4 linked regions of the Oryctolagus cuniculus genome follow. The protein of the gene in region 2 purifies or fractionates together with the protein of the main gene of each other region. This does not show direct contact. Links are inferred from orthologs where the notes say so. Each region holds a gene or a part of one and is shown on either strand. Other genes may lie near its edges.

Region 1 (8,059 bases), on a different chromosome or scaffold from region 2:
GTAAGTAAACACAAAAGCCAGTGGTGTTCTTTCAGTTTGTAACTCCTCTTTCTTCTATATTTAAAAAACAAATCCACAAAGTAAATCCAGGGGCCGGCGCTATGGCGCAGCGGGTTAACGCCCTGGCCTGAAGTGCCGGCATCCCATAGGGGCGCCGGTTCGAGACTTGGCTGCTCCACTTCCGGGGTGCTTGGGCCCCTGCTCCCACGTGGGAGACCTGCAGGAAGCTCCTGGCTCCTGGCTTCAGATTGGCGCAGCTCGGGCCATTGTGGCCAATTGGGGAGTGACCCAGCAGATGGAAGACCTCTCTCTCTCTCTCTCTGCCTCTCCTTCTCTCTCTAACTCTGACTTTCAAATAAATAAAGAAAAATCTTAAGAAAGAAAGAAAGAGAAGGAAAGAAAGAAAGAAGGAAAGAAAAAAAGGAAGGAAAGAAGGAAAGAAGGAAAGAAGGAAAGAAAGAAAGAAAGAAAGAAAGAAAGAAAGAAAGAAAGAAAGAAAGAAAGAAAGAAAAAGAAAAAGAAAGAAAGAAAGAAAGAAAGAAAGAAAGAAAGAAAGAAAGAAAGAAAAGAGAGAGAGAGAGAAAGAAATGGAGAGAGAGAGTTTGGGCTGGTGCTGTGGCGTAGTAGGCTAAGCTTCTTCCTGTGGTGCTGGCATCCTATATGGGCACTGGTTCTTGTTCCCTCTGCTTCTTTTCAGAACCACCTCTCTGCTTATGGCCTGGGAGAGCAACAGTGCAAGATGGCCCAAATGCTTGGGCCCCTGCACCCACGTGGGAGACCTGGAAGAAGATCCTAGCTCTTGGCTTCAGATCGGCCCAGCTCCAGCCATTACAGACATTTGGGGAGTGAACCAGCAGATGGAAGATCTTTCCCTCTGTTTCTCCCTCTCTCTGCCTATAACTCTACTACTCAAATAAATAAATTCCTTTTTTAAAAAAAAAGGAATCTCATGGGACTGGCGTCATGGAGTAGCAGGTTAAATTTCCGCCTGAAATACCACCATCCTGGCTGCTCCACTTCTGATCCAGCTGCCTGCTAAATGGCCTGAGAAAAGCAGAAAAAGATGGCCCAAGTGCTTGGGCCCCTGCATTAACATGGGAGGCCAGGATGAAGTGCCTGTCTCCTGGCTTTGGATCGGCGCAGCTCCAGCCGTTGTGGCCATCTCGGGAATAAACCAGTGGATGGAAGACCACTCTCTGTCTCTCTGTCTCTGCTTCTCTGTAACTCTGCCTTTCAAACAAATAAATAAATCTTAAAAAAAAAGTAATTTCAATTTCATCTACTTAAGCCTGGAGAAAAGAAAATATTGTAATTAGTTTTTATAAAACTAGCAAAGGATTATAACAAAGCTCAAAAAATATTATGAGATGTTTAAATCTTTTGAAGAAGTGCCTGAAAGGAAAACAGAACACAAAGATATATGACAGTCTGCTCTGGGAAGACACTTTTGCAAATATGTCCATGGTCCCCTCAATTACTATATTATTTATTTATTTATTTGAGAGGCAGAGTTACAAACAATGAGAGGGAGAGACAGAGAGAAAGGTCTTCCGTCTGCTGGTTCACTCCCCAAATGGCCGCAACGGTGGAGCTGCACTGATCTGAAGCCAGGAGCCAGGAGCTTCCTCCAGGTCTCCCATATGGGTGTAGGGGTCCACAGACTCGAGCCATCTTCTACTGCCTTCCCAAACCACAGCAGAGAGCTGGAGTGGAAGAGGAGCAGCCGGAACTGGAACCAGTGCCCATATGGGATGCTGGCACCGCAGGTGGAGGATTAACCTACTGCGCCATAGCACCGGCCCCCTGACAAAAATCTTAAAAGAATTTGCAAGAGGGAACCAACATTGTGGGACAGTGTTTGAGTCCCAGCTGCTCTGGCTTCCAAAACAGCTCCCTGCTAATATGCTTGAGAAAGGAGCTGAGGATGGCCCAACTATAAAATACTTGGCTCTTGTCTTAGGCCTGGTGCAGACCTGGCCATTGAGGCCATCTGGGGAGTGAACTAACAGAAGAAAGATTTCTCTCTCTCTCTCTCTCACTCGCTCACTCTATCTCCCCTTTTCCCCCTTCTCTGTCACTCCGCCTTCCAAAGAAACAAATAAATCTATATAAAAATTTATTTGCAATAGGATTTGACCTACTAATCCTTTAAAAAATGTTTAAGTACAAAGTTTTTCAAATAAATGAAAACACTGGAAGAAGAGTTTAATATTCATGTATTACCTAGCTTCAGTAATCGCCAACACATGGTCAATATTTGGCAAGCCCATTTTTTCAGTTCATCTGAAGGGTAATCAGTCATTTTCAAAAGACAAATGAAGAGAGGCTCTCTAGTAACCAGCCCTGAGACAGACTTGTTTCTGTGGGCATTTAGACCATGCAATTTCAAATCAGGGTTGAAGGGAGGACTTAAAAATCAGTAAATATTGTTGGGTCAATTGGTTACAAAATTGGGAAGAATTGAAGTTAAATAACATGTGAAAATTGAATTTTAGGTGGACTGGGGCCTAAATATAAAATTAAGGCTATAAGGGAATTAGAAAAAGTTACAAGGGCAGGAGGAGTGGATTCCTAATCTTGGTTTGAGCCAGGGGGACATGACATGAAAACAATACAGGAGCAATTAAAACATCTGCAGAGCGAAGCAACACGAAAGACAAGTCACAAATGCCACCGCAGGCAACAGGTCAGCCAGCCCAAGGACACCAGGGGACCGGGCCTCTGGAGACAAGAGAGCGAAGTAGACGGGCTGTTTAGGAACAAAGGAATTTAGTGCCACCCACATACCAGACACGTGGCTTCCCACGTGGTGGCCCGGAAACAGCCGCGTGGGGAATGCGGCGATTATTTTCTTCACTGTGTTTTCCTGAAGGGATTTTTTTTAACCATGATGGAGTGTTACGAATCCTGTAATAACCAAAAGATAGCCCTATATTGTGCCCTGCTTGGAATGCTGATGTCCCATCAGGCTTTCGGCTTCCTGTGCCGCAGTGAGTCCTTACAGGTATTTTAAAAATTAAATGCTCGGAGACTGACAGAAACAACGAGCGCGGTGTAGGTGTGGGAGGAGTTCTGCTCGCGAAGACACCTGCATTGCACTGCTCGCCCATCCTCTCTCCCAGTGCCATCTGCATCACTCACTCCAAATTACAAGAAGGAATTCAACCCTCCCGCGCGTCAGCGTGACTCCCGCGCCCGCACGTCCGGGCCCGCACAGGAACGCCCCTGCCCCGCCCAGCCCCGCCGCTTGTTGTGTTGTCATCACGTGGCTTGGGCGGACCCTGACGTCAGCTACAGGGGAGGGACTGCGCAGGCGCAGAAAAGGGGGCGGGGGACTCAGCTTGTTGTGTTGCTGCCCGAGAACCGGAGACGGTCCTGGTGCGGCCGCAGCTCTTCCAGACGCCCGACCATGTCGTCTCATTTAGTCGAGCCGCCGCCGCCCCTGCACAACAACAACAACAACTGCGAGGACGGTGACCAGCATCTGCCCCCACCGACCGGCCTCAACAGTGAGTGCTCGCCGACGGGTTCGCTGAAGGGGATGGGGGAGGAGGAGCTGCTCCGGCCGCCGCCACCAGCGCCGCGCGGGGGGCGGGAGGAGAAGGCAGCCCATTGGTCAAGCCCGAGGATGTTCTGCTGACTGACAGCTCCCGTCACCTGTCAGGAGGAGGCGCTTCAGTCTTCCTCTTGGCTAGTCTCCGCTCCCTCCTGGGGTCTTGGACTGGGTGCCAATTGTGGTCGCTCTCCGGGAGGGGAGGAGGGTGGGGAGAAAAGGGGATCGCGCGCCAGACTGCCCCTGGGGCAGGGCAGATCCCACCTGTAGGCCCCTGAAGCAGAGCCAATCGGGGCAGGGAGGGGGCGGGCCCTGGGGAGCGGGGCGGAAAGGTGGGCGGAGCGGGCCGCGAAGGGGACGTGGGCAGGGATGGGGACGTGCGGCGGGGACGCCGGGGGATGGACGCGCGGCGCGGGAGGGCAGGGGAGGGGCGGCCGAGGACGTGTCGGGGAGCAGGTGTGCCGTGGGGCCCCTGCCGAGCGTGCCCCGCGGGCCGGGCTTGCCCGGGCGGGGCCCGGCAGCCCTCGGTTGCGATCCTTTGTTGCCACATGCCGGTCGGGGAAACCCATTTGGCAATTTCGTGGTGACTCGAATCACGTGTGGGGGTGCACAGCCTGTGCCTTTCATTTCTTTTTCTTTGCTGCTGCTTTGTGAGATTTGCAAAGTTGCTCAAGTCTTTTTCAACGATGCAGTAGCGTGCACAGTAAACCTGTTTTAAGATGAGCCCCACTTCCAGCCCACGCGGAGTCTGGGGCGATGGGTATTCACACATGGGATTTAAAACACCCATCACAGGCACACGGGTGGTTGACAGTGGCAGGGTGGCGCTAGGACGGACCCCGGGTACTTCTGACAGCCTGGGGCTCAGACATCTTGCCAGTGGTGGTGAGAGCTCCGAGGTTCTTGCCTAACCTTTTTCTGTAATTTGCTCTTAGGAAAGAGGTGGTGGAGGCAGCCAGCATATGGCCAGACCGAGTCGCTTAACAACCATTTGGATGCTTAAAGGTCACACCGTCTCTTTCCTAAGAGGAAAGCGCTCCCAGCGTGGCCAGAACGTTATTTTAGGGAAGAGAGTCCCTGTCCCCTGAAGAGTGGGCATGAAAGCTGGGTATTTTTAGATGCTTTCTCTGCCTGTGGCAGGTGGTCGGTCGTTGATGGACTAATTCTCAGTGTTGACTGTTTTTAAACTTGTAAGTGTGTATGGAATGTTCTAGAATGTAAGATCTCTGCTGTTTCCCCTGCAGTAAGTTAGGAGTAGTGGAAGTCTTTAGATCTTACTTGTTGGTCACGTTTTGGCATACATGCTTGGAAGCGTGGATCTGGGGATAGAAACGGGGTTTAGAGTGAGGGGGCTCGTTCAGGTTGACAGCTGGCCGGACCTAGAGCTGAGGACCCCCCTTCAGCTCCTCGGGTGCCCCATCCGGGACCTTCCCTGGGGTCCCAAGTCCCTGATCACGGGTGCTTCTTACCCTCAGCATGTTTTTCTGTCGAATGTACATCGGTGGCTGCCTATCTTTATAGTATTCTGTTTCTTAATTGTGCTGTTTTCATATGCGTAAGAAATGTGTTTAGTATGTGTACGTGATTTCCCAGAGTCCAAAGGAGTTTTAATGTTCCTGTGACCCTTTACCATAAAGCAAGAGGGAGGGTTGAGCTGTATATGATTGTTTATCTTGGTGTTTGATGTCTGGCCAATCAGTTCCTGCTACGTTTACATTAGCTGTTAGAGAAGTGGAAGAACACCCCGCCTGCAGGTGATACCAGATGTTGCTTTGGGGAATCCACTAGGTAGAAAGTGTTTTATTTGGGGGTAATGTGAGCTTTTTAAGTTACTGCAAAACTTTCAGATAATACCATACTAAATTACTCCTCTCTTGCTTCTTCCTCTGATCCTTTTTTTCTCCCTCGTTACACAACACTGGACTGAACAAAACAAGAAGCCTTATTGATTCCTTCAAGTGATTTTTGGGCATCTGGCAAAACAACTTATTCAGACATTTAATACTATGAATTGCTGATAAGTTGGAGTACTCTGTTGGGTAAAGCACGACTGTGAAAACAGGAGATGAAACTCATCGTGATTATCTCTGGTTAGGATTTTATCTTTGGTCTAGGGGTCAAAGCAGAGTTTAATGGCAATTTATTGAAATACTTAAATAGTAAAGCCTTTCTCTGAAAGGTTTTTTTTTTTTTAATTTATCATTCATTCTAGGGCAACTGTGTTTTCATAACAAATTAGGGCACAAATATCCAAACTCTTTCTCAAGATAAAAAAATATTTTCTGGTTCTTAGTTTTATGCTTTAAAAAAAACTATCATGTTCCTTAAGAATATCTGAATAAAAGTTTGTCATAAAACTCAGTATAAGGAAAATCATAGAAGCAGTGTAGTTCTTGTGGTTTAATGTGGGAATTACAACTTTTTTAAAAAAATTAATTTATTTGAAATGGAGAGAGACAGACATACCCATCTTCTGGTTATTCCTCAAATGCCTGCAACAGCAGGGCTGGGCCAGGCAAGGGCCAGGAGCTAGAACTCGATCTGGATCTCCCACACGGGGCAGGCACCCAGCACTTGAGCCATCACCTGCTGCCTGCAGCGTGCGCATTAGCAGGACGCTGGAATCAGGAGTGGAGCCAGGACGCTAACCCAGGCACTGTGATACGGGATGCGGGCAGTGTCTCACTGCTGTGCCAAATGCCTGCCCCACAGACTTTGTCTTTCTTTTTGAACTCCTTCAACCACAGTGTATTTGCTTCTCCAGTATGCCAAGAGGGCTGTTGAGGCTGTGGCACATGGACCGTCCCTGCCTCATAATAGTGTTTGGAATAAGTAAGAAACCACATGTACAAAAAAGACTAACTTGTACCCAAATGCCGGTGACGATTGTTCTGGTCTGGATTCCAGCATCAGGTACTTGAGACAGACAATCGAAAGGCTTTGACTGAAGAATGTAAACGTAATGCCATCCCCTGGTTAGGGTGAGTGACATTTAGGGCCTCAAAAATGGGACAAAAATGTGAAAAGTGTTTTTTTTTTCTCATTCTCCTTGACTCTCAGCTTCCCTACTCCCATTATTGAAAGATAATTGAATTGGCAATTATAAAACTGTAAAGAGCGTACAGTGTACAGTAATGAATGTAACCCACAGTTATTGGACCAGCCTTTACCTGATCAAAGACTTAAACTAGAAACTATCCCATGTAATTGAGTGTATGTATAAACTGGCTTAAAGGAACACCTTGCCGTTTGTAAATAGTCTTTTAAAATAATAGAGAAGGCTTCCAGCTTTGGGTTCTTAAGCTGATTCTTAGGAAGAGAATTCACTTTGAGGTTGCTTTTTACTTGTATTGCTTGGACAGCACAGTCCTCATATCTTGCCTTGTTTCTTTTCCAAGTTAAAAGGGACTCTGTGAGGATTGCTAGTGGGAAGCTTACAGAATTCGGAGGCTGTAAATCATGAATGAACTAGATGAAGGGAAAAGGCATGTGTAGTTCATCTATTGAGAAAGACACATTTGTTTTTCAGTGTTTCACTCTAAAGATAAAGACAATATTGCCAAATTATCCTCCAGAATGCCCTCTGAAGCCCTGACTATAATGACAGAATATTAGAAAGAAGAATTCGGGATAACAGTTTAAGTATAGTTTATAAATGATGAGATGCAATGCAGTTGTTCAAAAGAATAAATGTTAGTATGTATTGACGTTGAAAGTTATCTGTGGCCAGCACCCATTCAAGTCCTGTTTGCTCCACTTCTGATCCAGCTCCCTGCTAAGGCACCTGGGAAAGCAGTGGACAGTGGCCCAACCACTTGGGCCCCTGCGCTCACATGAGAGACTGGGATGGAGTTCCCGGTGTTTTTTAAAAATATTTGTTTATTTTTTTGAAAGGCAAAGTGGAGCCCACATTGTGGCATAGCAGATTAAGCTACCGCCTGCAATGCCAGCATCCCATAAGCATACTGGTTCAACTCCCAGATATTCCACTTCTGATCCAGCTCCCTGCTAATCTCCTGGGAAAGCAGTAGAAGATGGTCCAAGTACTTGGGCCCCTGCATTCCCATGGGAGATCTGAGGAAGCTCCTGGCTCCTGGCTTTGGCCTGGTGCAGCCCCAGCTGCTGTAGCCATCTGGGGAGTGAACCTGCAGATGGAAAATCTCTCTCTGTATCTCTCATTCTTTCAAATAAAAATAAATAAATCTGTAAATATATGTGTATATATATATAGTATATGATATACATATTATATCATTATATATATAATACAAATATATATATAAGAAAGAAAGCAGACAGATTTTTCATCTGCTGGTTCACTCCCCAAATGGCCACCACCAACCAGGGCCAGGCTGAAGCCAGGAGCCAGGAACCTTCTCTTGAGTCTTCCACGTGGGTGGCAGGGGCTTTCCCAGGCACATGATCAGAGAGCTGGATTGGAAGCGGAGCATTTGGGACTCAAACAGATGTTCCAGTATGGATGCCAGGGTCACAGATGGTGGCTTA
Region 2 (7,409 bases):
TCGTATTTGTTTTCCTGTACTATCCCTTCAATTTCAGCTAGTGAGATTGAGCAGGTTGGAAGGGGAACTTTCTTTGTGCTGGCTACTAGATTTGATTATCAATCAGGAGAAATTTGGTTTACAGGAATGCTTTTTGCACCTTGGTACCTGGCTTGAAACCTGAATACAAGTTAAGATATTTGTTTCCCCCGGTTTCCATTAATGAAACATTTCTCTTCCTCTCTTGTCTTCCTGTTGCTTCCTGGTTGCCTAGAGAGTTTCTCAGTGGTAGAACAGCAAGTCAACAATCACAGAAAGAGGAAGAGAGTGATTTGTTGATTATTTTCAGGCACAGGACACATAGTAAGCACTCGGGACCATCAACTGAAAGATCATTAAGTTAGGTTTAGGAAGAGAGTGCTGTTGGTTACCATCCCAGAATTGAATGCTCCACAGGTGGACTCAAACATAGTCTGAGAAGGACTCCAGGCACACGTGGTACCCTAGACTTCAGAGCCTTAAATAGATTTGTCCAGAAGATAAGAATGATAATAAACGCGTAAATGTACAGAATACAGAGGCTGTTACTTAAAGCAGTTCAATCACAGCGTCACTGCCTGGGTCCAGATGAGGATGGAAAGAGTTGGGGCTGTCTCCAGAAGTGTGTGTGGATGTGTTTCTGAATGCATGGTCAGGTACACATGTTTCCATTTAGTTGCTTGTTTTCACTGGTCAGTTTTTAAGATTCTGGCTTTAGTTGTATGGAATAAAAGAAACTGGTATAGTCTCTTCTTGGGTATAATAGGTACTTTTCTAACTTTGAAATGATACATTCTGATTTTAAAAAGGAATTTGACACAAAAATTCACTTTAAAGTAGGTACCAGAAAATCAATTTATGTTAGTCTCCTAGTTAATGTTAAGTATTCATATACCCGTAATATTTTAGTACTTTTTCTTAAGAAAAAATTTAAAATATGTGAATAAACTAATGATTCCCTTGGAAAATATTTTATATTTAGACATTTTAAAACCTTTTGATTAATATAATAGAGGAGATTCCAGTATTTCATAGGTATAGTTCTAAGAAGGTAACCATACTTAATTTAAAAAAAAATTAAAAATAAATTTAAAAAAGAATTTCAGGTGTAAAAATGATAGGTGTTATAAGTATACACACTAATATGGAATTCTGTATTAATAGAAAAATCATAAATCCAAAGTAACCTTTTGTGGTGTAAATTTTAGCAATCACATGATGTTTATCTCTTTGGTAATCTCATTTATTTGAACAATCACCCTTAAATTTTATTTTTATAACACTTTTTACAGAATTCACAGAAAATATTTTTATTAATGCCCCAAAAAATCTTTCTAAAAACTATTAAGATCCTGTTTTTTCTGCTTTAAGTATGCTATCATTTTTATATCATCTGATGTATGTTTGACTAGATACGTAATGTTCATTCTTCATAGAAGTCTTGAGCAAAAATGATGTTAAAATACCATTAATCCTGATATGTTTAAGCGTGTAGAAATGTTAAGGGTGTCAGTTTAGAGCATCATCTTCACCTTGTCTCTTTTGCATATTCTGCAAAGGAAATGGAGAGGTCTTTGGTAGATTAATGCATTATTAAAATAGAATATTTATTCTCTAATCAGTGCCTTTCTTTAAGCTTATATTTGTAATTTTATAATTTAATTTACATTATAATGTATTTCAAATTATACATGAGGAACATGTATTGTCTGCATATTTATTTATTGCAAAGTCTCTGGTGGAGGTGATTTCTGTATTACATTCTCAAGGTTTCTCTTAAGTATCACAAAACTCTTCCTTGAAGCCAAACAATAAAAATAAGCTGGTTTATTCCACATGTGTTGTGAACTCCATAGGCAGTTATTTCACAGGATCCTGAGTAGTCCATTTTTCTTGGGCATGAGGAATTCCTCCAATATCATCTGGTAATGTCATTTTGCAATAGCAACAAAAGGAGGAATAAAATCAAGGTTTGAATTTTTTTTTATACATTCTACAGTTTACTCCATGATTCTTGGAAATAGGTGTTCCAAAATCAGGCATGCATTTGCCCACCAACATCAATCCATCCATTCCTACTTTTGTGCTGTCAAGGATGCAAATACTCAAAAACTGTTTATGTTTGGTGGCTTTTGTTCCTAATTTTCAGGAGAGAATCAGTAGAAACATCAATTATGTGGAGATTATAAAAGTACTAGAAACTGTAAAAGTTCCTACTGTTACAGTTTCCTGTTCTGTGGTTCCAGATTCCATTGATGATATGTTGGCTGGAATCCCCTCTGTGTTTTTTGCCTTGATGCTTTTGTTCCTAAAGGTAGAAAGTTTCATACTTTCCTTCTCCATTCTTCTGAAATTAGCGCTACCTACCTTCTTGGCCCCCAGACTATTAGGATGTCTGTTTATTGATGGCCTCTATAGTTTTGGCTCAGATTTCTCCCTCATGTTTCACACTCTTGCATATTTTAGCTTCCTATGCATCTTGGCATAGTTAATCAGTTTTTACTTAGATCTCAGTAGGTCAAGGGGCCAAAGAAATGAAACAATAGTTTATTGACAAGGAGTAGGGGAAGCCTCATGATGAATGAACATACAGAAACATCTTAAGTGTTATTAGTAACTAGTGAATTATAAATTACATCATAAGGAGATGTGACTGCCTGTGAAATTAGGAGGTAATTTGAAAAATAGATGACGTTTTCAGTGCTTCTTTTTGTATACTATAGACATAAATTTTTTAAAGCAGTTTGTAAAAATTTATCTTTTGACATAAAATATTTACTTAAAAATCCCAATAGTAGAATAAATTATGAGAAATAGAAGAAAGACGTTTATTGAAGGATTTTTATCTGTTTCTAATTTTTTGTTTATTAGGAAATAATATTAGAAAAATAGTAATTATGACATACATGAGAGTGTTAGCTATATAATGATACCATATTGTAAAGAATCTTTAATCTTGAGAAACAGTTTTATAAGAACACTTACATAGAGTTGGGACTGGAAAAATTAGATGGGCAGGTCTTAGTAGGTTGGCCATTTCATTGTGAGAGGACAACATGAACAAAGACACAAAAGTGGAATTGAGTTTATTGTATGATTAATGATTAAAATGATGATTAATCTGGCTGGGGAGTGGGGGTTCATTTGGAGAGACAGGGAGAGTGCTATTCACCTGTTACTAGGTACTGGGGACATAAGGATGACTAAAAGATGACAAAAATGAAAATTCAGGAGAAGTCAGATATGAGACAGTCTCCTGAAAAATCTGGCAAAACTTAATGATATGATGAAAGAGAAAGTTAAAAAGAATATATGGAAGTTTTGAGTTTGTATGAAGCCAGTAACAGTCATAGAAAAACTTGAGAAGGAAACCTTCATGAGGCAAGATGATGGGTTTTGTTCTACAGTTGGTTTAGGATGCACACACAGAAAAGACGTTTGTCTTGTGTTCTGTCTTTTTAAGGTTAACTTATTCTATAAAACTGGATGTTTTTCAGATCTCTCTGACCAGCTATTCTAGTATTTAAACTGACCATTGTGAAGTTGCAAAAACCAACCAACACACCAAATAAACACACAAACAAACAAACAAAAAAACAGGGTTTTGGGAGGGCTTGTTAAAAATAACAATAAATTCAGTAACTAGGCCTACGTGGTTTTATTTATAAAAATTTCCTATGTCCTGTAAGCAGTATGTATATTTGATTCTATTCCCTTTTTTTGATGCCTTTGTTTCACACTGTAACATATTGGGGATGGGGCCATAACCTTAAGGAACCAATAGATCTCATTCTAAACTGTATTATAGGGAAGTTTCTTTCTTTGGCAGATGGGAGATTCTTTGGTCAGAGAAACCTACGAAGGTGAATGCTTCCCAGGCTCGCCAGTTTAAACCTTGTATTAAGCAGATAAATTTTCCCACAAATCTTATCCGACTGGAAGTAAATAGTTCTCTTCTGGATTATTACACTGAATTAGATGCAGTTGTGCTACATGGTCTGAAGGACAAGCCAATGCTGTCTCTCAAGACTTCACTTATTGACATGAATGATCTAGAGGATGAAGACTATCCTGAAGAGGCTGGTTGTGGAATGGACAATCTTAACAAAAAATTTAGCAGTGTTGCCCTCAAGGAAGGGCCAAATAATGGATATTTTGATAAACTACCATATGAGGTAAGCCAAAAATATACAGTAGTAATATTGGATATATCAGTGTAGACTTTTCAGTGTTTTGATATTTATGTTTATTTTGCTAGATATCAGAGGAATAAAGGCATTGATAAGGTTTACATAATTTGATATGTTGTATATTTTGATTTTGGAAAAAGTATACAAAATTATGTTAAGTAATTTCATTGCTTTTGTTTTAGATTAACTTTAGTGATTCTAGATAAATAAATTATATCACTGTTTAACAGGAACCAAATACATAAGCTAATAATAAATTTCAGCCTACTTTAATTCATAATTATACTATGTAAGTATGGGCAATATGTGATTATAAAGTCATGTCAAATATAATTTGCTGTTAATTATAAAAGAGTAAAAAGATTGTGAGATGAATGCTTATTTCATTTAGAAGTCCACAGTTTCTCTGAGTGTTATTTCTTCTTCTTTTCAAATTGTATTCTGTGTTCTTCAACCTACAATTTTAGGCCTAGGTAGGTTCAGAGAGACCACCAGGAAATACTTTTTTATGTGTCTAGACTGATCCTGTATTCAGGATGTGTGGTTGTACAGGAACACCCCTGCAGTATATTTCACATTCTTGGCTATCAGGCATCAAGTGCCAGTAGCATTCTAAAGCCATGTGACACCAAAACCTCTCCTCACTTATTTCCAGATATCACGTGGGGTGGGAGCAGTGCTAGACGTTTCTGTCTCCTGCTGAAAACTACTGTGCGCAGTTAAAAATAGCACCAGCTTTCTTTTTAAGAAAAATTTATACTCCTTTCTTTTCTTTCTGTTTTTTTTTTTTTGTTTGTTTGTTTGTTTGTTTGATTTATTTATTTGACAGAGTTACAGACAGTGAAAGAGACAGAGAAAGGTCTTCCTTCCATTGGTTCACTCCCCAACTGGCCGCTACGGCCGGCGCCAGGTGCTTCTTCCTGGTCTCCCATGTGGTTGCAGGGGTCCAAGCACTTGGGCCATCTTCCACTGCTATCCCAGGCCAAACCAGAAAGCTGGACTAGAAGAGGAGCAGCCGGGACTAGAACTGGCACCCATATGGGATGCCGATGCTGCAGACAGAGGATTAACCCACTGTGCCATGGCACTGGCCCCGATACACCTTTCTTTAGAGATTTATTTATTTATTTTGAAAGTCAGAGTTACAGAGAGAGAGGGAGAGACAGAGACAGAGAGAGAGGGATCTTCCATCTACTGGTTCACTCAGATGCCACCATGGCTGGGACTGGGCCAGGCTGAAGCCAGGAGCTTCTTCTAGGTCTCCCACATGGGAGCAAGGGTCCAAGCATTTGGGCCATCCTCCACTGTTTTCCCCAAGCCATTAGCAGGGAGCTGGATTGGAAGTGGAGCAGTTGAGACAGAAGCAGGTTCCCATATGAGAAGATGGCGGTTTTACCTGTTATGCCACAGTGTCGACCCCAATGCTCAACTTTAAACAAACTTAAATTACCCTCCTTTCAAACTGGTGGTTATTTCCAGTTTCATTGTAATAACTAATTTAACGTACAGGGAACAATATGACAGCCTCTTAAATGCCTGATAGTGACTATAATACCTGGTCATCATTTTACAGCTAAAATGCTGTGGTTTATCCTGTGAATAGCTAAAGTTGCCACATAAAGATGAATTGAAGGAATATATGGTAGGTGGTTTACTCAGAAAGGCATGGGACCAGGACCCCATCCAGGCCTTCTGAATCAGTTCCTGAGGTATGAAGAGGAAGCATCATTGACAGAATGGACAAATCGTCTGTTCTTAATGGGATGAGGGATAAGTTGGTGAGAGACGAGCAGGAGACAGTGACACAGTGGCTCCTTGGTGCTTTAAGGAGGGTATGTTCTCACAGTCGTGAGTGGGGGCATTGCCTTAGGACAGTGGGTCACTTCTTGGATTCATACCCCTTCTCACAACTAGAAATTTAACTTCAGTGAACATATTTTAAACAATTTATAGAATTTTAACCATACCTATTAAAAATGCTTGACACATAAAATTCAAGTGAATAACTGAGGGGAATCTAGGCAAAGGAAGGAGAGTGTACAGAGGCAAAAGTAAATGAAACCGTGTCTGCCTCTAGTATTTCAGTATGGCTGAAATAATAAAGTTATCTTTTAATCCCATTTCACCGCAAAAGTTAAAAAAAATCAACTTACTCTTTTATCCATTCAAGGTAGAGTATAAAATTATTACAGGTATGATGTCTTATAACTTACCTTCTAAAGGATAAAAAGATAAGGGTAGTGCTAGAGGATGCCACAGAGTGGAAAAGTTTCTGTTTGTGATGAAGGTTGGGAGAGATTTCAGCATGTTTATATGCTGAAGGGGAGAAACCTGTCGAGACAAAAACCTTCAAGTACATGCAAGCAGTTTAGTCAGTACAACAAAGTCCTGTAGAAGAAACCAGGAGTTGGGATCAGTTCTGGAGGGACGTTCGTTGGCCTTGGTGAAAGAAGTGTACCATGTAAGGAGTAATACTGTGAAACATTGAATGATCTCACAGTGAGTAAAAAGAGAAATACTTAAAAAGTGTTATTTTGAAAGTAACACATTATTTCAAGGGGAAATTAAACCATATTTAAATATGTCCAATGATACCGTGTTCTCATAGTTTAAATAATTGTATTGAATAGAATTAATTTTGAGGATAGATAGATCAGGGTATCTCTTTGTACTAACTGCTTAGAAATTATACTGAAATAACTGAATATTAAACAAAATTTTAATTCTGAAAATAGTTGGAGAAGTGCCCCAACTATTGCCAAGTTCAGATGATTCATGGATTCTTGCTAAGATTTAAGAAAAAAAAACATAGTAGTATCTAAACTTTCATAGAATAAAAAAGTTTTTAATTTCTTGTGAAACTAGTGTTATGCTGATTAAGATAGTATGCCAAAAACTACAGAACAGTTTTATATATGTAAACAATTTAAATATAGCATATTGGATGATTTTAAAAGGGTATTATAAGAAATCATTCAGCATTTCTGGAATTCAAGGGTGTTTGCATATCAGAGAATGTACACAATAATAACGGTACAGGCCAACAAGAAGAAAATCCTGTGATCATCTCAGCAGGTGGCAAAACTGCTTAACAAGTGATAGCTATATAGATATCAAATTGTATTCATTTCTTTTAAAAAGGAAATACTTTATTAATCTATCTACTAATTGGCTGTTTTCAGATATAATAGCCAAGTTATC
Region 3 (7,409 bases), on a different chromosome or scaffold from region 2:
GTTTGTTTTTGTTTTTTGTTTTTAAGATTTATTTTACTTACTTGAAAAGCATAGTTAACAGAGGGAGAGAGATAGACAGAGCTCTTCCATCTGCTGGTTCATTCCCCAAATGGCCGTAACAGCCGGGACCGGGCCCGGTCGAAGCCAGGAGCCTAGAACTCCATCCTGGTCTCCTACAAGGGTGGCAGGGGCCCAAGTGCTTGGCCCAACTTCCACTGCTTTCCCAGCACAGCCAAAGTGCTGGCCCCTTAAAGATTTTTTTTTTTAATTTATTTATTTTCATTTTATTTTAAAGGCAGGACAGAGAGAACAAGATCTTCCATCCACTGGTTCACTCCCCAAAGGCCCACAGCAGGCAGGGCTAGACCAAACCAAAGCCAAGATCTGGAAGTCAGTCCAAAGGGACAACAGGGGCCTGAGTACTTTGCCATCACCTGCTGCCTCTCAGAGTATAAGTTAGCAGGACGCTGGGGGAGAAGCAGAGAAGCCAGGGTTGGCCCTGGCACCCTTTGGGATATAGGCATCCCAGGACGCTGGGGGAGAAGCAGAGAAGCTGAGGTTAACTCTGGCACCCTGTGGGATATAGGCGTCCCAGGACACTGGGGGAGAAGCCAGGATGGACCTTGGCACCCTGTGGGGTAAAGGTGTCCGAAGTGGGAACTACTATACCAGACCCCTGTTCCAGCATTACTAAGTTTTTAAACTTTCTGGGGTTAGCTTTTTTGAGGTTTTTTACTCGTTTTTTTCTTTATTTCTTTTTAAACATTTTTTCAGTTGGCAGAAGTTGTGTATGTTTATCATGTACAACATGTTGCTTTGAAATTGTATCCATGGTGGAATGACGAATAGGCTTTTCTTATCCACGTACAAATCCTTTCTTAAGGCTCAGTGCTCTCAGTGTAGGACCTGCATGGTTTTGACTGATTTATTCTCGGAAACCTGCTTGCCCTAAAACACCCTGTGTGTCCTACAACACCACCATAGACTTTTTTATATAGAAAACTTTTATTTAATAAATATAAATTTTTTTAAAGATTTATTTATTTTACTTGAAAGAGTTAGAGGAGAGGCAGAAAGAGAGAAGTCATCCATCTGTTGGTTCACTCCCCAATTGGCTTGGCTGCCACGGCCAGAACTGCACTGATCCGAATCCAGGAGCCAGGAGCTTCCTCCGGGTCTCCCACGTGGGTACAGGGGCCCAAGCACTTGGGCCATCTTCTGCTTTCCTAGGCCACAACAGAGAACTAGATAGGAAGTGAAGCAGCCGGGTCTTGAACCTGCACCCATATGGGATGCCAGCACTTCAGGCCAGGGCGTTAACCCACTGCACCACAGTGCTGGCCCTTAATAAATATAAATGTCAAAAGTACAACTTCTGGATTATAGCAGTTCTTGCCCCCATAACCACCCTCCCACCCACAAACCATCCCATCTCCCACGCCCTTTCCTATCTCATTCTTCATTAAGATTCATTTTTAAATTATCTTTATATACAGATCGACTTAATATTTACTAAGATTTCAACAGTTTGCACAGATACACAAGTATAAAGTACTATTTGAAGATTAGTTTTACCATTAATGCTCATAGTACAACACATTAAGGACAGAGATCCTACATGGGGAGTAAGTACACCGTGACTCCCATTGTTGATTTAGCAATTGTCACTCTTATTTATGACGCCAGTAATCACCCAAGACTCTTGTCTGGAGCTGCCAAAGCTATGGAAGCCTCTTGAGTTCACAAACTCTGACCTTATTTAGACAAAGCCATAGTCAAAGTGGAAGTTCTCTCTTCCCTTCAGAGAAAGATACCTCCTTTGATGGCCTCTTCTTTCCACCAAGGTCTCCCTCAGATCTTTCATTGAGGTCATTTTTTGCCACAGTGTCTTGGCTTTCCATGTCTGAGATTTCTCTTGAACCACAGACTCTTAAAAATCCCTAGTTTTTAACTTCTCCTGTACTATGTTTAACAATAGTTACAGAAAGTACAGAGGAAGTAGAGGGTACTTTCTAGAGTATGTCTGTCATGGCTCACCTTTCTTTAATTTACCTTCAAAACCCACGCATTCTACCTTGTTATGTTAGGCTCGAGTGTATATTATGTGTTATTAATATTTCCTTTAATATTGCTTTCATGTTATTTCTTACATTTTTAGCAGAATTGCTACTTTGAAGTTCTTTATATAGATTAAATTTGCATATAACCTTTTCATAAATACAATATGAATATAAACCCAGTTGCACCTCTAGTTAAATTTGGGAAAAGTAAGGCTGATTGTGTTTATATTTAAATGAACTTCTCAGCATTTTGTATTCTTGTGTTAAAAAATCTGAATTTCATTTTAACTGGATAATCTCCCAACAAATAATACCCATGTATGAATTCTAATATTCCTGTTTCAGAGAATGTTTTATATTATTAGTTAATTTGCTAACATGACTCCTGTGGGGAGTTTAGAGAAATGGATAAAATAAACCATATCATCTTTGAATGTTTTCATTAAAAAGAAGTCACATATGCATAAACACATGCGAGGAGAAGTAGGAATCTGAATAATCTATAGTAAACCACATCCATTTGAAGTATGTAAAATTTAAAGTTATTTATATTTGTGTGCATCTGTATACCATCACCACAAAAAAGAACTTGAAAGTTGATAGATTTTTATAGTCTATAATTTATTTTGCAGACTATTAGGAAACCATGATGATAAATGGAATTATCTTTATTCTTTTAGGTCAAATATTAAAATTATTTGATCCAGGGAACACATTCATAGATTGAATCCACTGTTGTCTTTTAAGCCAGTATGAATTGTCTCTCTAAATGCAAAATTTCCTTTAAACTTAAAATGTGAGCTGATACCTTTTGAAGTTCTAGCTCGTGCAGTAGTCTGATTTCATCATGGTAATAAATTTTTGCCAGGTTATAATCTGGACATTTTGATGACATCTTGTATTCAGGTTATTTCCTGTGACTTCAGATGTCTTGGGAAAACAGTGAGTATAGGCATTTTACACTTTTTTTTTTCTTTTTTTCTGTCCAGCTTGCATTGGTGACTTGGAGAGATTGTCTGTTCAGGCCATTGAATAAACAGGTACCCACTCTGAAGAACTTTGTGTGTTCTCTTTTATGATCCTTTGCCAGCTTCCTGCCTCTGTCCTTTAGAACATCTTGAGAGTATCCCTTATCTCACATTGTTAATGGCTCTGAATGTTTAAGGGACATGGGATATTAAATATTAAATACTGTAATCTCTAATATATTTCATGTTTCCTTTCTAAAGGTAACAAATGCTGTCTTAAAACTGATTGAAAAGGAAAGAAATGGTGAAACCATCAATACAAGACTGATTAGTGGAGTTGTACAGTCTTATGGTAAATAATTTCAGTTATTTGGAGTTTTCATGTCAAATTACAGTCACAACAGTGCCATACCAGATTCATTTAAAAAACATTTAATATCATCAGGACTGTTAGCATTTACAGAGGTACTCATAATTCCTATTTGGTGATATTTTACTTGATTTTACCCTCTTAAAAGTTGTTTGATCCTTATGCCTTTGAGAAACTTTAATGAAATAGACATTTGAGTTTTCTGATCTCATAATTAGCTACTGGCTAATGATAGAATGCTATTGAACTGAATGATAAATAGAAATCTATCAGCTTGAAACATTGAGGAACTGATAAGTTAACACAGTATTTAAAACCTTGGATAGCATGGTATTTCTTTGAAAGTTTAAATTAGAGGTTTTTATTGCTTTTGGAAATACGAAGTTTTCCAAATGTACTTCATGATAATTCTAAAGGATACCTGGTATGAGTCAATTATTTTTGTGTGTCCTGGCTTTTTTCTTCTATTGAGCGATGCACTTTATTATTAGTGAATAATAATTACCTTATGCTCTGCCATTCACATTTACCTTTATGCCTAACTTAATCTTTTATCTAAGTATATTCTGTGAAATACAACAAAAAATAGGGTAATTGAAATGCAGCTCATATTTATTTCTAGTGGAATTGGGGCTGAATGAAGATGATGCATTTGCAAAGGGCCCTACGTTAACAGTGTATAAAGAATCCTTTGAATCTCAATTTTTGGCTGACACAGAAAGATTTTATACCAGAGAGAGTACTGAATTCTTGCAACAGAACCCAGTTACCGAATATATGAAAAAGGTAAGCTTAAATATAGTACTTAAAGTAGACAAGCTAAAAATGTGCCATTCAGATGAGTTACTGTTTAAAATAGCATATGCACTTTTCTTCACACAAGTCATTTGTTGGGCATTGTTGTCCTAGCATGTCTTCAGCAGGTGTAAATACTTCTTCTAATTCTCCAGGGAGCTTTTTATAAATTTGTTTGCTGACCATGCCTGAAAGTTCTGGCTGTTTTACAGATATATAAAAGCTGTGTGACTTTTGTTTTGAACTATTTTTCCTAGAACGTAAATATCTTAGGGTTGTCTCGGTCTTACCATGTTAGTGAGAACATTTTCAGATACAAATATTCTCAGATTTGTGAGTAAGTTTTTGCTTTCTTCTAACATGTCTCCCTGAGAATCTATAACAGTTTCAGGTTGAAGGTAGAGGAGTAGTCTCTGACACAGCAGGATCCTGTTTCTCATGTGGGACAAGACCTAAGATTAAACCAGGGTTTCCAGTCCTTTTCTGTACCGAGTGATATGACCAAGTTCTAACAGATTTGTTCTGTATTCACTTTCTTAGAAATACAGGAATCCTGGACTTGGGCTCTGAGGAAAGACCTGTGTCAGGAGTCAGCAAACGTTTTTTGCCAGAGACTGGATAGTAATGCTTGAGGCATTGTGGGCCATGTGGTCTCTCTTGGTGCTGCAGGCAAAAGCAGACGTAACATCCTGTGAATAAATGGGTGTGGTTGGGTTCCAGTACCACTTCATCTGTATTTAAGAAGAAAAACAAAGGTGGTAGGCTGGATCTGGCCTACGTGGAAGTTTGCTGATCCTTGAACTAGATGAGTTAGATTTCTAGGGAGTCTGGGTCTTGTTGGTCTGGTGGCTGCTTTGATCTTATTCCCTGTGCACCTGGTGAGGGACTGCAGACTCGCCTCCTCTTGTATGATGTGAGAAAATAAGCGATAAAGTCCTGTCCAGTTTGTGGTGTTCTGAATGTGTTGTCTCATAGGAGATAGCAGTTATAATTGGGGCTTAGAATAACAACAAAAACTGATAGCTCAGAATCTAAGAAAAAATGGATTGGTTCAGAAGTATTATACTTGAAATATTAATAGTTCCTTGTGTATGTGTATTTTGGGGTTAAATGGACTTTGTATGCTGACCTGGAACCCAGCCAGTTCATTCAGCATTTCAAACAACTGCCTGACAGATGAGCTTTTGAAACGTAATCTGTTTTGAATCTTAGCATTGCCTGTTATTTCATTTTATAGTTTGACAGTGAATATATCTCTTGCTGAAGTCTCCTGTGTGGTGACTCCTTTAAACCATATGTTTTTAAGGTGGAACCTGTTATCAGAGTACATGTATGCAGTGGGGGAGCAAAACTGTCCTACTTCAGGCTTCTGAGTAGATTATGATGATTATTAAAGTCAGCTCTCTGTACTTAGGACGGTGGTAGCTCTCTGGTGCAAGGAGACCAGCTTTATAGGACAGAGCTTTGTAGGCATCCCAAAGCAGAGAAATCTGCTTTTAAAATCAGCCCTAAAGCTAAAGGCAACTTGAGAAACTAGCGTTTCCATCCAATGGCCTGAATATTTTCAGTCCAGCATGAGCCCCGCCTCAGGTAGCAATATGCTTCCTGCTTCCTGGTTCCCATAAAGGTATTTTTTTCTAGAGAAGTTAAAAGTTCAGTTCATATCTGCTTGGATCGTACCAAACATGCTTTCCATCACATTCTCAGAGTCTGTAATGCAAAGAATCTATAAACATGAAATGAGAATTTAGCCATGTGAGCAGTTCTATTCTGTAACCTTTCGTCTCAAACTGGGACGTGAATCTTAATTTTAAATCCGTACTCTGCCATTTACTTAGGGGACGACCTGAACCTTTCTCTTCCGTAATTTCTTCATTTATAAAAAGGGAATAATAATAGGTAATGAAGATTAAATAAGCTTTAATTTTTAAATAATTTACAATAATTTTAAAGTGTATGTGTGTGTGAGAGAGAGAGAGAAAGACAAAGTGCTAGAATAGTGTGTGGCAAGTAGCAAGCCCGGTGTGTTTGGTGTTACATACACACATCTCACAGAACCCCTAGTATGTGCCTGAGAGGGTACAAAGCCACGTGGCAGAAGAGAACAAATGTTACTCAGTAACTTGGGAAGAAATGTTTATATGAAAACATACATTTTATCAGGAATTACAGTAAAACATATCATGAACAATATTGAGATATCAAGTATTGATTTTTTTTAAGACATATTCTTGAGCAGCCAGTTGGGGCTAGATTCACAGATTCCCTGGTGGCCTCAGTATGCTCTTCTCTGTAGGCAGGAGAATTTTAGTGGGAATATCTGAGACTCCTTGGCTTGTCTTTCTAAGGGTGGCTTTGATCAGCAAACAAACCTAAGCCATGGCAGTATTTTCATGGTGTCTTACTATCTCACATGGTTGAGATTAATCTGAACTATTAAAACTTTGCATGATTTCAGGTTTGTAACATTTTTTTAAGATTTTTAAATTTTATTTAAAAAAATTTTTCTATATTTGACAAGTAGAGTTACAAACACTGAAAGAGAAAGAAAGATCTTCCTTCCGTTGGTTCACTCCCCAAATGGCCTCAATGGCTGGAGCTACGCCAGTCTGAAGCAAGGAGCCACATGCTCTTCCAGATGTCCCATGCGGGTGCAGGGGCCCAAGCACTTGGGCCATCCTCCACTGCTTTCCCAGGACATAGCAGAGAGCTGGACTGGAAGAGGAGCAACCAGCACTAGAACCGGCGCCCATATGGGATGCTGGCACAGCAGGCAGAGGATTAACCTAGTGCGCCACGGCGCCGGCCCCAAGATTTTTAAATTTTCAAAATTTATCTGAGAGGCAGAAGGAAGAAGAGCCAGAGCAAGTCTCCATCTCTTGGTTCACTCCCCAAATGCCGACAGTGGCCAGCGCTCGGCTGGGACTGGAGCCAACTCAATCCAGATCTGTGTGGCAGCAAGAACCCATGCCTTCAGCCATCACCACTGCTTCCACTGTGCTGTCCGCATGGGCATACAGCTGGAATCGGAAGCCAGCAGCAGGGATCAAGCCCAGCCACCGTGGTATGGGACTGAGCTGTTTGAACCACTAGATCCAGTGCTTTCCCTTCTAATTTAAAACTTTAAAAATAAAATGCCTTGTTTACCAATTTTTGCTTACCTCTTTTTTTCCTTTTGTTTTTACTGAGACCCAGATAAAATTCAAAAGATGCAGT
Region 4 (7,409 bases), on a different chromosome or scaffold from region 2:
GGGGCTGGTGACCGTGTCTGCTGCAAACCCACCCTGCATTCCCAGGCCTGCCTTTGGTGCTTTTTCGGATGGTTAGGTGCGCTCTGTGCACAGGGCCAGGCCTGCCTCCCCCAGAAGAGGTGCTGTGGCATCGGGAACTTGCCCTGCTTCCCTGTGCTGCGTGGTGCTGCGTGGTGCTGCGTGGTGCTGCGTGGGTGTAGCACAGGCACAGCTGGGTGATGGTTGCTGTACTTAATGGTAGTGCCTGCAGAATTAACTTACTCATTTTCTAGTATGACTTTTCTCCCGATCTTCTGTAGTCTGCCTCCGTCTTCTCCCTACTGCAGCCCGTACCTCTGTGTGCCGCCTGCATTACCTGTGAGCAGATCTTTGCTATACAGTCAAGCAGACGTGTGACACGGCCGCCGTCTGTCTGTGTGCTGGATTGACGAGGGGGCACCGCAGTGCAGGGGAGCGAGGCTGTCCCGTCTCAGGTCGGGTGGGGGTGGCACGCAGCTGTCCCGTCTCAGGTCGGGTGGGGGCGGCGCGCAGCTGTCCTGTCTCAGGTCGGGTGGGGGTGGCACGCAGCTGTCCCGTCTCAGGTCGCGTGGGGGTGGCACGCAGCTTCCCGTCTCAGGTCGGGTGGGGGTGGCACGCAGCTGTCCCGTCTCAGGTCGCGTGGGGGTGGCACGCAGCTGTCCCGTCTCAGGTCGGGTGGGGGCGGCACGCAGCTGTCCCGTCTCAGGTCGGGTGGCACGCAGCTGTCCCGTCTCAGGTCGGGTGGGGGTGGCACGCAGCTGTCCCGTCTCAGGTTGGGTTGGGGTGGCACGCAGCTGTCCCGTCTCAGGTCGGGTGGGGGCGGCACGCAGCTGTCCCGTCTCAGGTCGCGTGGGGGTGGCACGCAGGTGGGTGCATGGGGGGAGCAGCCACAGGGGAGCATCACGTGCGAAAGGCTCTGTGCAGGGAGCACACAGCCGTGGTGCAGGCCGAGGTCCAGGTGACCCACAGTCATGAGAAGCGAAACCCTCATTAGGAGTGAGACGCCAGTGGGCACGGCGTGTGGCGCAGAGGGCAAAGCCGCCGCTGCAGTGCCGGCCTCCCATAGGGCACCAGTTTGTGCCCTGGCTGCTGCACGTCCAGTCCAGCTCTCTGCTGTGGCCTGGGAAAGCAGCAGAAGATGGTCCAAGTGCTTGGGCCCTGCACCCACGTGGGAGACCTGGAAGAAGCTCCTGGCTTCAGATTGCTGAAGCTCTGGCCGCTGAGGCCAGTTGGGAGCTCTCTGTTTCTCTCTCTCTCTCTCTCTCTGCCTCTCTTCTCTCTCTGTGTAACTCTTTCAAATAAATCAATAAATCTTTAAAAAAAAAAAAAGTGAAACGGCAGGTAAAGCGCAGGGGCTCGGCGTGAGGCGCCGCGGCCCCGTCGGCTGTGTGGGAAAGTGGGACCATTTGCTCATAACCCGAGCACACGTTACTTTTCAGCCCAGTAATCCTCCTGCTCAGTAGGTGCCCAGCCGAAGCCCGTGCAGGCGTGCACCCTGGACAGGTACCGAACCTCTGTCTGGTAACGGGCTGCCTGTGCACGGGGAGTGAGGGCGAGGCCAGCCCAGGCTGCGTGGGGGCGTGTGTGCTACGGACATGGGTCACTGTGTGTCGCCGGGGAACCTCTTGGGAATGGAAGGCCTGCAGGGGTACACGTTCCAGTCCCAGGCTGGCTGCATTCCAGCCACGCCCCCTTTCCCTCCTCGTCCCGCAGGCTCCTGGGTAGAACTGCACTTCAGCAACAATGGCAACGGGAACGGCGTCCCAGCCTCCGTTTCTATTTATAATGGTGACCTGGAGAAAATCCTGCTGGACGCCCAGCATGAGTCCGGACGGAGTAGCTCCAAGAGCTCTCACTGTGACAGGTAGGCGTGGACAGGCCGCGCGTGGCAGGACTGCTGCCCTGGGGAGATGGTCCATGGATCAACGGGATGCCTGGATTCCAGGATAGGGGGCTGCACTCGGGAACAGCTCTGATGTTGGGACTGCGCCCCCTGGTGGGGAAGCTGACCTGGGGCTGTCTGTGGGGGGACCAAATAAAGCAAAGGAGCCCCCCGGAAACAGCGGAGCCCCGCCCTTCTCGCAGCTGCAGTATGGTCGGTCTCTAGGAACACACGCCTCTGCGGGTCCTGGTCAGGGCGGGGCCGAGTCACTGGTCTAAAGCTGGGTGCTCCCCAGAGCCGGGAGGCGGACCACGGAGCTGGCGGCGGCAGTCAGCCCCCCGCCTCTTCTGGGGGACACCCGGTGGCTGACTTGCTCCGCTGTCAAGACGGAGGAGTTCGGTCCTTGCGAACGGGCCCTGCCTCTCTGGTAGCATGTTGACGTGGCCGTCTGTTCTTCCATTCTGTTCACACCTTCCCAAGCCCGCCGCGCTCGCAGACACCGCAGGACACTACCAGAGCTTCTGAGACGGACACGCACAGCACCGGGGAGAAAACCAGCTCCCAGGTAGGCTCGGGAAGGGGCCGCAGCCTCGGAGGCGCTGAGCGGGACAGGCCTGGCTCTGAGGGGCTCTGGGTGGGGATGTCCCCAGTAGAGGGACATCACTGAGCTGACCACAGAAGGCGTGGAGGGAGGAACGTGGAGCGTGGGTGCCCTGCCACCATCCAGGGACTCCCGGCAAGCGAGACAGCGTTCCCTTGTGCCTGCGGCCCGGGGGAGGTCGAAGGGTGGCAGGGAGCCCCCTGCTGGGCGCGTTCCCTCCGCTGTTGGTTGGCCGATTGGGCCTCACTGGCTGTCAGTTACCTCCTGCTGTGGCTCTGGGCGTCCTTCTCACTCCAGACACCGGGTCCTTCCTGGCACCCAGCGCGGGGCTTAGCACTGGCAACTAAGCGGCCGGAGCCCAGGGTGAGACCGCTTCACCAGCCTGAACTCAGCCTGGTGCACCAGGCGCTCGGTGCTGTTGTGGGCGGGGCTGCAGACCCTCTGAAGGCTGAGTGTGAGCCCCAGGTCTTTCTGGGGTTTCGGGCCACGAGCGCAGGGCTGTTCAGTGTACCCAGGAGCGCAGTGCTGTGTTCAGTGTACCCAGGAGTGCTGTGTTCAGTGTACCCAGGAGCGCAGGGCTGTGTTCAGTGTACCCAGGAGTGCTGTGTTCAGTGTACCGAGGAGCGCAGTGCTGTGTTCAGTGTACCGAGGAGCGCAGTGCTGTGTTCAGTGTACCCAGGAGTGCTGTGTTCAGTGTACCCAGGAGCGCAGTGCTGTGTTCAGTGTACCCAGGAGTGCAGTGCTGTGTTCAGTGTACCCAGGAGTGCTGTGTTCAGTGTACCCAGGAGCGCAGTGCTGTGTTCAGTGTACCCAGGAGTGCAGTGCTGCGCTTGTCAGATGCAGTGTGTGTGTTCTGAAATGGCTTGTCTGTAGTGACCCCCAGAGCTGGGGGGGAGGCGGGGCTAGCAGGCAGTTGGTACCCTCGGCACTGGCCGGGGCGGCGCCCCTGGCACGGGCAGAGACTGAGTGGCAGGAGCCGGTTGTGAGGCCCGAGTGCGGCTCGGTGGACCCACGCTGTGGGTGTTCGCATTGTTTATTTCCCCTGCTTTTAAAAAGGAATTCATGATTAGATGGGGAATTTTGAAAATGCAAAAAGGAAAACACCTACATTCCTGCATTTAAAATCCCTTTTAATTAGTATTTTGTACAGATACCTGATTTTTTTAAATGCAGCTTAAACCGCGGTGGTCTGTAGACCTCTTTGCTTTCCGCGTCCCACGGGAGGACCTTCCCCTGCCTGTGCCTCCACGCGCGTCTCTGGCGGGCTCGCGTCACGGGCCTCCCTGGAAGCGCGGCTGCCGCTCCTGGCGCCACCGCCATCCCGCTGAGTCCAGGCTGGGCGCTCTGGGCAGGACCTCGCGGCGGGTTCTGTCCGCTCGTCCCCCGGGCCGCCAGCGCCTGGCTCCCTCCGAGCTTGCCGGCCTGCCGCTGGGTGCAGTGGACGCTGTCGCTTGTGGATGTGGCGATTGATCTGCTTTTCCCGTTTTCTCAGTCCGAGGAGGATTTCATTGAGAGAAGGAAAGAAGTGGAAAGCATCTTAAAGAAAAACTCAGACTGGATATGGGACTGGTCAAGCCGGCCGGAGAACGTCCCCCCGAAGTGAGTCTGGGCTCGGCTGGCGGGCGCCGGGTGCGCAGGCGCGGGCTGACCTCCCTGTCCCTGCAGGCAGCTCCTCTTCAGGCACCCGAGGCGCGCGGCCGCGCTGAGCATGCGCAACACGAGCGTCATGAGGAAGGGGGGCGTCTTCTCGGCGGACGTGCTCAAGGTCTTCCTGCCGTCGCTGCTGCTCTCTCACCTGCTGGCCATCGGGCTGGGGTAGGTGCGGCCCGCGGCCCGCGCGGCCTCAGGCCTCGGGGCCAGCTCCCGGCTGTGCCGGCGGCGTGTCCACACAGCCTGTGTCCCCACCCCGCACACCTGGCCGTGCCTCCTGTCCCGCGAGGACGTGGCGTCCAAGCAGGGGGTCCCGTCTGCCTTGCGTGCATCACGCGTGTGGTGCAGCCAGCCTCCCTCGCGCACAGCACGTGGCGCCTGCCTGCGCTCAGCTGGCTCCCCCTGCTGGACGGCTCGGCCACTTCATCCTGGCTGTAGCCTGTGACCCCGACAGGCCGGCGCGGCTCCAGTCCCTGCTGGTCTCCCTGGGAGGGGCAGGCGATGGCCCAAGTCCTTGGACCCCTGCCGCCCACACGGGAGGCTGGACTGAGCTCCACACTCCAGATTGGGCTGTTGCAGGCATCCGGGCAGCGAACCAGTGGGTGCAAGATGTGTGTGTGTCTGTCTGTCAAAGAAAAGATGGATATAATTCTGACTTCAGCTCGAGCAGCGCGGCAGAGCGGGGGGTTGACGGGACCCCCAGCTGCGCTCTCCCTCGGGCTCGCCCAGTCTGGTGTGCGCACGTGTTCCGTCTGGGCTGGCCCGAGCGCGCGTGCCTGGGGCAGGGTGCAGAGCCCCTCCCTTCCCCCACCCCGTCCCCGTGGCCAGCGAGGCCGTCTGTTTCCCGTCCTGCGGGACCTTGTGGGGCTGTCCTTCCCCGCCCGTGGAGATGACTTCTGGCCAGGGCCATGCACCCCTCCTCCTGGCTCCCCTGGCAGGCACCCCTCTGCTTCCTGGGCCGCAGCTGCTGTCCGCTGGGTCGGGGTCGCCCGCCCGCCCCTCCCCACGCTGCTCCACGGCTCTGGCAGAGCTTTCCGGAGTCACCAGGCTGCGCCCGTGTCACCAGGGAGTCCGAGTGTCATTTCCGAGCTTTCCATACAGCTGGGGGACGGTCCCCGGAGGCAGGTTCCATTACTGGACAGGCCGTATCGGGACGCAGCTCTGTCCACGGAGCCCGGCGGTGCCAGCAGCTTCCTGTTGACGCGGGGACAGAGCCCGCGCGCGCTCCTGCAGGCCCGGGCGGCCGGGCTTCTGTGCTTGCCCTTCCCTGAAGAGCCCTCCTCGTGCCTCCCCGGGTGGGCACCCACCCGCTCCCCCACGCCCTGGGCGCCTCTCCCCAGGACTGAGGGCAGAAGCTGGTAGGTGGCTCAGAGTGAGGCCGGCCCGCCCTGCTGGGCGACTTGGCCTGTACCCGGCCGCGGCAGGCACTAAGCAGGGCGCCCGCCTGGCGCAGGGTAACCGCGCTGCCCTGTGCCCAGCTGGCGCTCGGTGGGGGTTCACAGGAGAGGCGGCCTCACGTCCTGTGTAACAGATCTAGGCGGTGCCGCCACGGGCGGGGGACTAACCGCCTTCTTTCCCGCTCAGCATCTACATCGGCCGGCGTCTGACCACCTCCACCAGCACCTTCTGAGGACGTGGACGCGCACGTGCACGTGGACGTGGCCCTCGCTCACCCGGGGGTCGCTGCGGCTGCGCGGTTCCCTGAGTGCAAGAACGGACGCGGGCCGTGCGGGAACCGATCAGTGCGCATGTCAGGCTGATGAGTACCGCCTGCACCGGTCTGGTTGCCAGTTTTCTTAGGATATTAGGTAGAAATATCTGGTAGGTAGTTCTAATACTCAGCCATGATGTCCTATAGCATGAGAAGTGGAGCTGACACGTGAATCCAGTCAACACGACGTGCAGACGAGGGAGTGATGTGGATGGGAAATCAGCACAGCAAGGGGTCTGTCTAGAACAGAATCGTGGCCTTACATTCACACCGTTGTAGGAAATGTGCTGCATTTAATGGATAAGGTCGTCTACTGAAGACACTTGATTAAGCTCATTGTTGCTAAGTCATGCTTAGACACGGGGTGGGGGCAGGTGCAGCCCCACCCCGTGCTCCGTCGGCCAGGCGCTGCTCCCTGGGCGCTGGGGTCGGCCGGGTGCCCTCGCTTCTCCTCCTGCACTGCTTTGTGCTTGACCCCGGTGTCCTTGTAAAGCAAATCTGTCTACTTTTAAGAGACTGGAAATAGAAAAAAATAAATGTTTGCCAAACCTTCAGAGGGTACTGTGTTCATGTGCAGTTTCACATCGACATCAGGAAGCCAGGCCCGTCCTCCCTTCTCCGTCCTGCATTAGTGGGGCTCAGGGGGCAGGGGGCCGGGGGCCGGGGCTAGAGCAGCCGGATGGGCGGGCTCTCTGGAAATACAGACGAGTGACACGACCCACCTGTAGGAATCTGCTCTGAGTATCAGACTCTAAGAATTTCAAAGTGACAGGTTTGGGGAGGAGTATTTTGGTGCTGGGGCTGGGCCAGCGCTGTGGTGTAGCGGGTGGGCTGCTGCCTGCAATGCCGAAATCCCATACAGGCACCGGTTCGAGTCCTGGCTGCTCTGCTTCCGATCCAGCTCTCTGCTGTGACCTGGGAAAGCAGTGGAAGATGCCCAAGTCTCCTGGCTTTAGACCGGCCCAGCTCCGGCCATTGTGGCCAATGGGGAGTGAACCAGCGGATGGAAGATTCTCTCTGGCTCTTTGTAACTGCCTTTCAAGTAAATTTTTTTTTTTTTTTTTGACAGAGTGGACAGTGAGAGAGAAAGGTCTTCCTTTGCTGTTGGTTCACCCTCTGATGGCCGCCGCGGTTGGCATGCTGCGGCCGGCACACCGCGCTGATCCGAAGCCAGGAGCCAGGTGCTTCTCCTGGTCTCCCATGGGTGCAGGGCCCAAGCACCTGGGCCATCCTCCACTGCACTCCCTGGCCACAGCAGAGAGCTGGCCTGGAAGAGGGGCAACCGGGATAGAATCTGGCATCCCGACTGGGACTAGAACCCGGTGTGCCGGCGCCGCAGGCGGAAGATTAGCCTAGTGAGCCGCGGCGCCGGCCTCAAGTAAATCTGGTGCCAAAACTGAAATCCATGTGTGCAAGTTTTCAAAAGGTTAGAAGTGAACTCCGCCTGCGTGGGTTAAAGCAGTTCCTTGCCCTGGTTTTGTGCTGAGGCAGCGCCCTCACGGATGGACCCGTGAGCTGCAGCTCATCGCAGGGCTCCCAGCGTCTGC

Evidence for each region.
Region 1: the proteins of FBXL4 (region 2) and BNIP3L purify together in Homo sapiens (affinity purification with western blotting; 4 studies listed by BioGRID, with this or other methods). This does not show direct contact. The link is inferred for Oryctolagus cuniculus from reciprocal best matches to the Homo sapiens genes FBXL4 and BNIP3L.
Region 3: the proteins of FBXL4 (region 2) and CUL1 purify together in Homo sapiens (affinity purification with western blotting; 4 studies listed by BioGRID, with this or other methods). This does not show direct contact. The link is inferred for Oryctolagus cuniculus from reciprocal best matches to the Homo sapiens genes FBXL4 and CUL1.
Region 4: the proteins of FBXL4 (region 2) and BNIP3 purify together in Homo sapiens (affinity purification with western blotting; 4 studies listed by BioGRID, with this or other methods). This does not show direct contact. The link is inferred for Oryctolagus cuniculus from reciprocal best matches to the Homo sapiens genes FBXL4 and BNIP3.

The regions. Positions count from the first base shown.
Region 1 is NC_091433.1:47,855,575-47,863,633, reverse strand, and holds the start of BNIP3L (BCL2/adenovirus E1B 19 kDa protein-interacting protein 3-like), read left to right. Parts: upstream 1-3,253; 5' UTR 3,254-3,409; coding exon 3,410-3,509; intron 3,510-8,059.
Region 2 is NC_091436.1:72,837,377-72,844,785, forward strand, and holds part of FBXL4 (F-box/LRR-repeat protein 4), read left to right. Parts: intron 1-3,847; coding exon 3,848-4,193; intron 4,194-7,409. UniProt on the Homo sapiens protein: Substrate-recognition component of the mitochondria-localized SCF-FBXL4 ubiquitin E3 ligase complex that plays a role in the restriction of mitophagy by controlling the degradation of BNIP3 and NIX mitophagy receptors.
Region 3 is NC_091434.1:174,806,292-174,813,700, reverse strand, and holds part of CUL1 (cullin-1), read left to right. Parts: intron 1-3,049; coding exon 3,050-3,100; intron 3,101-3,289; coding exon 3,290-3,380; intron 3,381-4,020; coding exon 4,021-4,184; intron 4,185-7,409. UniProt on the Homo sapiens protein: Core component of multiple cullin-RING-based SCF (SKP1-CUL1-F-box protein) E3 ubiquitin-protein ligase complexes, which mediate the ubiquitination of proteins involved in cell cycle progression, signal transduction and transcription.
Region 4 is NC_091446.1:1,009,284-1,016,692, forward strand, and holds the end of BNIP3 (BCL2/adenovirus E1B 19 kDa protein-interacting protein 3), read left to right. Parts: intron 1-1,731; coding exon 1,732-1,882; intron 1,883-2,380; coding exon 2,381-2,465; intron 2,466-3,993; coding exon 3,994-4,100; intron 4,101-4,166; coding exon 4,167-4,316; intron 4,317-5,735; coding exon 5,736-5,781; 3' UTR 5,782-6,416; downstream 6,417-7,409. UniProt on the Homo sapiens protein: Apoptosis-inducing protein that can overcome BCL2 suppression. May play a role in repartitioning calcium between the two major intracellular calcium stores in association with BCL2.